Solanum lycopersicum: one gene and its partner. The protein of the gene in region 1 interacts with the protein of each later gene in a pairwise test. Links are inferred from orthologs where the notes say so. Each region holds a gene or a part of one and is shown on either strand. Other genes may lie near its edges.

Evidence for each region. The genes of interacting proteins can lie anywhere in the genome.
Region 2: the proteins of TCP4 (region 1) and transcription factor HEC3 interact in binary tests that used the Arabidopsis thaliana proteins (3 or more experiments, as listed by UniProt). The link is inferred for Solanum lycopersicum from reciprocal best matches to the Arabidopsis thaliana genes TCP5 and HEC3.

Annotation. Positions count from the first base shown.
Region 1 is NC_090802.1:61,726,874-61,730,728, forward strand, and holds TCP4 (TCP transcription factor 4), read right to left. Parts: upstream 2,346-3,855; 5' UTR 2,170-2,345; intron 1,885-2,169; 5' UTR 1,847-1,884; coding exon 821-1,846; 3' UTR 638-820; downstream 1-637.
Region 2 is NC_090810.1:1,211,228-1,214,345, reverse strand, and holds transcription factor HEC3, read right to left. Parts: upstream 1,729-3,118; 5' UTR 1,595-1,728; coding exon 743-1,594; 3' UTR 632-742; downstream 1-631. UniProt on the Arabidopsis thaliana protein: Required for the female reproductive tract development and fertility.

The DNA.
Region 1 (3,855 bases):
TCGTCTAAAAACCTAATTAGATATGAAAGAAACTTTTTGTTTTCTAGTTAGATTAAAACAAATTAATGGAGTAATTAATTATATTACTAGTTATTACGTCTATCATTAGTACACAGCTAAGCATGATATGTTATGTATCAATTTTACATGACAAAATTGAACTTGAATAGTTTCGTTTACCTTCTATAAAATATTTTTATTGGCTAAAATCATTCATACTTTGTGGTTAGATCCTATTATGGATTTTTCACTATATTCTTCAACATCTTTATCTCTTACTTCTCGGAGCTCTGATAATGAAATAAAGAAAAATGAGAAGAAGATACCAACAACAACTGATTGACTTGACTACGTAACTATAGTTCCAGATCTGTTGCATCATATTTGCAATTACCTTAAGGTTGTGAGAGTCGAGAATAAACCCAACCTTTGCTTCGATTAGAGTTTCTACTATCGAGATTTCGGTTAAACCATGACATATTAATGATGCAAATCCAAGAAAAACAAAATTGAAAAAATTAATGCTAAACACACTTTCAATTTGTATAAATTAAAGGTTAATCCAATACCAATAATAATGTAGATTTATACCACTTGAATCACCCAAAAAAAAAAACTACAGATTAATATTTGTATATTTCAGAATAGAGATTAAAACTTTATAAACCTATATGGTATAAGAAATAGAATGATTCACTTTAATTATTTGTTGTACCTGTGAAGAAGGAATAATGTAGCATGATTATAATCCAGGACAACAACTTTAATTCAAAATATTTGAAGTAAAGACGAAGATTCATTTCCTCCACTTGGCTTAGAATCAAATTGCGCGACCTTCATGTGGTTGATTATCATCATCATCATCGTCATCATCGTCATCTTCATCATCTCTGGAACTCATCCATCTAGGATCATTATTGAGACTAAAGGGTTTCATTTGGGAACTAATCAAATTAAGAGTTGGCATCACAAGTTGATTATTGTGTGAAGTAGTTGAGCTTAAGAAATTGAAATGGTTCATATTAGCCCTTGGATCATGACTCTCAATGGGATGATGATTTGTTATATAGTTAGGAGATGGAACTATAGGTTGAAATGTTGTTGTTATTGGATTGAAATACAATTGAGAACTCGAGGGAAAAGGCGAAGATGATGATCCCAAAGATAGAGGGAAACTAGTATTTTGATGAGATTGATCATCATCTATTTGGGATGAAAATGAATGATTATGTCCAAAATGACCTAAAGACAAATTCGAATTAGGCTGATGATCCCATTGATAGTTATAAGAATTGAAAGGCATGCCTGGTAAATTAGATGATCGTTGATTTCCTAAGGTAAACATATTATCCTCTTGATTTGATTCCTCATTTGAAGCGATTGACTTGTTCCTCCCATGTTCCAAATAAGATGTGTTCGCGTTCAACCATTGAGCACGGACATCAGAGAACTCTTCATGAGATGGTTGTTGAAACCGAGTGAAGTACTCAGGTGGTACAGGAAGTGGAGGAAGAGTATCGATATCAAGTTTAGTCGCTTCTAAGAGCCAATCTACAACTTTACTAGGTTGGCTCAGGCCAAGCCTGTCTTGTAGATCATACAATTGAATTGCAGTTGGAACTGATAGTCTAATTCTTCGATCTCTAAGCCCCCTTATGGTGCACACCTTACTATGCCTATCTTTCCCTCCAAAAGTACGCGATACGCGTACTATTCTTGGGTTTTTATTAGCTCCCCATTGCCTTGAAGTACTCGATGGTGGTGCACTAGTCGTCTTTGAGGCCAATCTACTATCATTATTTGATTCTTGTTTCGTCTCAAAATTATTTCCACTCGATGAATTCATGATATGTATATCATATATCGTTCTTCATCAGCATCGATCTAGTAAAAATCAAAGAAAAATATTAAGCATCTATTAGATCGAGATAAAATATTATCAAATTATACTATACACACAAAAAAAAAAAACTCCATCAATGGAAATTTTCTTGTGTACATAGTGCAATTTTTGGGGGAAAATTGGAGTTGTGATTAATATTAGGGTAACCTCCAAAATCATTTCACTAAACACCCAAGACTTTGTAAAAATGACTAAGATCTAAAAAAATAGATGTTTAAAATTTTGTATAAACAATTACTACTATAAGAATCATGAATTGTACTTACATAATTAGGTTTTGTAGAAGATAAACTACAACTTGTATATATATCTTTGAGTGGCTAGCAAAATCTCAACATGGAATTAACAACTCTTGATAACATTTAACTTCTTTTATAATAATTTCTCCCAAGGCTTGGGGGAAAAAATGAGTTTATGGACAAAATTTGACCAAAAGAGAAACAAGAGAGAATAAATTTACAAGGATAAGTTATGGTTTGTAGAAAAAGAAGCAATGTTAGATTCTCACTATGTTATAATATTATCTCAAAAGAGGAAAGTAGAAGGCCACGTGGCGCTTACTCGTGTGTAATTCAATTCTAGGGTTGAGAAAAATGTAAAGTTTTAAGTATTATGTATCTACTGTGTATATAAACTTTTATAGTATTTGTATATATAATCGCGATAATTCTTTGTCCATAGGCTACAAATAATAATGTAATAGAAATTTAATTTCTCGTATTTAGACTACTCCATCATGAATAGTTTTTTTTTTTTAACAGTCTATTAGTCAAGAAGCTAGTTATTGTAGTAGTTTCATATTTTAATTTTAAGTTTTGATTCTATTTAATGATGCTAAGAAAGGAAGGTACACTGTTAACCTCACAAGGACCACTCTAGGGTTAGAAGAAAAAAAAAAGAAAAGGGTTTATTGCTTTTCTGCAAACTATAGTAGTAGTACAAATTAAAATAAATGACTAATCATCCGAATTTAAAATTTTGAATATATATATATATGTTTGTTGTGAGATATTGTCGGTTACATGTAGAATAATTATATTAAATAATAATCAGTTATTAGGGAAAATGATGTGAAATACATTTGAACTTTGATTGATATTATTGTTGTAGTATCAAATTTTAGAAAAGACATTTTACCCCTACATTATTTAATAGTGTATTTTAAAGGTATATATGTATTTACGTGGACATAAAAATATTACATAATTATAAATAGTAATGTGTCTACGTGGACATAAATATACCTTTAAAATACACTATTAAATAGTTTGGAGGAGTGGGGAAGGTTAAAAGGTTCTCCATAAAGTTTCATATCGAAATAGCAATTTCGATCAAAATTGAAGTATTTTTCAGACCTTTTCCCTCGTTATTACAATTGTTGAATAGTGGATTTTTATAAAATAATTGTGTATTTAAAAATTTTAATTGTAATATTCTATTTATAAAAAAAGATATATGGAGATATGTAATTTTTTAATGTGGCGTCGTAGGATGTTATAGTTTCTTGTTTATGAATTATTTTTTACTCTTTGCTAAGATTGTATAAGAATGGGAGAAATTTCGGTGGTTTATACAATTTGTAGAATTTTTTTTTCATGTTTATAAGAAAAAACACAACCCGAGAAATATAAATTACTCATCCAAACAAAAGTTTAATCTCAAATTAATCTGATTTCAAATCATAATTTGTATCGCATGTCCAAGCGAATCCTAATTAAACTCATCTCATACTCCCTCTGTTCGTTTTTAATTGTCATGTTGTGTTTTAAAAAGTCAATTTGATTAATTTTCAAAGTTAAATTAGATTATTAGATATTCAAAAATTATACTAGAAGTACTACAAATTGCATTTTTTTGGCATATCAATAAGATAAAAAAAATCATGGTAAAATATTAATCGAAGTTCTTATCATTTCACTCTAAAAAAAATCATGACAATTAAAAGTGATCGA
Region 2 (3,118 bases), on another chromosome or scaffold:
ATTCAAAAGATATCTACAAGTAATTTTCCATAAAAACGAGATTTGAAATCTTTCATAAAATATAATTTTCTTTACACTTTTGGTGTGTAATATATAAATTAAACTCAATATACATATACATAATACAAATTGTACAAACATGCGCACACGAGCACAAACAAGTGCGTGAGATTATACCAGCAAGAGTAGTTGTGGAGTAGTAAGTACTCCTTTATCTTTAATCAGAGGTCTCGAGTTCAAGTCCTTCTGAATACAGAGTCACCTTTATTAGGAAACACTAAATCCTAATATGAAATTTTCCAACGCTAATCTAAATTTAACCAGACCCCCAGATACCAAATTGAAAATCGAAAAAATAAATAAATGTGTGTGAGGTGGGCCAAAGAGTATAATCATATTCAATTTCTTCTCACGTCACTGTTTTATTCCCGGGAGAGAATTCAGCCAAACGAACTTTTTGATGATCAGAAAAAATAAATAGATAAAAACCATATTCTATAATTATTAATATACTAGTATATACCAACATACGTAACTCAACTCTAACCGTTGTGATGATTATCATGCCCTTTAAGTCAACACAATCCTAACAAACCTATTTTTTTTAGTTCACAATTCACATGATCCACTATACACAAATAATTAATTATTCCTCTATATATAATATTTTTATTCTTAAAAATTCCAATTACTACACAATAATAATAATAATAATAATAATAATAATAATAATATGACCTAACTAATTACCAATTACCTCATAAGGTGGATCCAATGTAGTGTTACCAACAAAAGTTGTAACATTATTGGTTGTAGTACTACTAGAGGAGCCAAGAATCAGACCTTTTGTACTTGGTGTGACAATATTATTTGCCCAATTTTCATTATTAGGGCATGACGATACTGGTATCTGTGCTGGTGGGAGGTTATGATTCGATGATTGTAATTGACGGATTTGTCTTTTTAAGAACTTAACATAGCGAATTGCTTCGTCTAACATGGATGCAGTGTCCATTTTTGTTCCACCAGGGACTAATCTTTGCAAGATTCTGATTTTTTCACTTATCCTTTCGCGGCGTAGCCTGGCTGCTACGCTTTGTGGATCATTGCTTATACGTACGTTACGCCTTTTAGGTTTTCGTATAGTGGATGGATCAATGTCTACTGGTTGCATAGATGCAATTTTGAACATCATTTCTTTCATGGCTCCTAGCTCTTCTTCTTCCTCTTCATCTTCGTCTTGATCATCGTGTTCTTGATCCTCTATTAGGGTTTGAACATGGTTGTTTAACACATGATCAAAAGGGACAACTACTACTTCTTCTTGTTGTTGTTGTTGTTGTTGGGTTGAGGAGGAGGGAAGGTGATGGTGTTGAGGGTTTTGAAGAGGAAAACTAGGCCAAATAGGGTTATGTTCGAAATGAAATTGTTGTTGATGATGATGATGTTCGTGGTAGATATGGTCGTTTGGTATACTGGACAAGCATGGTTGTTGTTGTTGTTGTTGATCGCGAAAGACTTGTTGGTTGTCCATATTGGACATGGTTGGATCCCAAGTGGAGGTAGTGAGTTTATTAATGTGGTTGATATCCATGGTAAGAAGAGTATAAAGGGTGAATATATCAAGAAAGAAGAAGAAGAAGAATATCTATTGTGTTTTTTTTGTGTCATTATGAAAATATTTTTCTCATATTTATTGAAACCCTTTAACCAAAAATTGTAATTAAAAAGAAAAAGAAAAAAAAGAGGGGTGCAAAAAGGGAGGTGACTTATTGCAAAGTTGAATCAAAGCTCATGAATATGTACTTTGTGTGAAGCCTTTGAAGGCTAAATAGTACATCTTCGTAGGGTAGTGAAAAGGTGTAAGTTATATACATTATGACATACACAATTCGTACATATATATTTACATGTATATATGTCAATATATAGAGGGACAAATGGAAGAAGGGGGTGGGGGTGTTACAAACTTTATTGAGTCTCTAATAAAAGTAAAATGCGGAGCCGAGATTTAGAATTTGTTAAGTTGAGATTGTAGTAATCATTTTTAAGTTACTAGTCTAACAACAACAACAACATGCTCAGTCGTTTGAGTTGTTGATCTAACAACAACTATTATAAAATTGTAAAAATAAATATATGATATGAATCAAAGTATCGTAAACTATACTCCAGCTCCGAGCTAAAATAATAATTATTGTGGGAGGGGGACCACAAGATCAAGTTATTTTCAAAAATAAATAGATAAACAAAAAGAAGTTTCTATTTTTGTGAGGGTTGTGGGTTGGGGGGGAGTGTGTTTCAAAGGCCATAAATGTCCTACTTTTGCTATATTGGTATACAAGTGCATTTAGTAGAGACTTGTTGCCTTTGCTTCATCCCTAGAATTTATCTATTTGTTTTGCTTAATTTGCTAGCCATCAAAATCAATTGATAAATTCTTCATGACTTGGGTGTGATCTAGAGGTTAATACCGCATGAAAATATTAGAAAATAATTTCAGATTTTTATTGATTTTTATAGGATTCCTATTGAATTGAGACTCGTGTCATTATATAGGAAGTATTCAGATTTGTATTTATCATTTTTTTCTGGAAAGATTTATTATTCTTTGTTGTTCCTAATTGTTAAATTATGATTTCATTCTTTTGTATGATTATTTCAAATCATTATAATTATACTTATATGCAATATACTATATAGTCACACAATTATTTTCTATTAGTTTGTGATATTTGTGAGTTGGTGAAATCATGAGATAGAATACACGTAGATTTTTGTTAATTTTATGTAGATACTTCTCAAATGAGAATCGTTCCATTTTTGTATTTACATCTATGACGATCTATCATATTAATCTTCAATGTCAATTCTATATATATATTATCCCTACTAATATGTTATGCTATAATATTTATTCTCATTGATTACTACATCAAATCTCTTTAATTATAAACTCATATACATTATCATATAGTCACATAAATATATACAATTTTTCTATATGCGAATCATTCATCATGCGAACATTTCCCTCAAATTAACATTGGTGGATCTAGAATCATCAATTTGCCTACTAGAAACTGATAATGTGTTGACCCGTGAATTTTACAAGTAC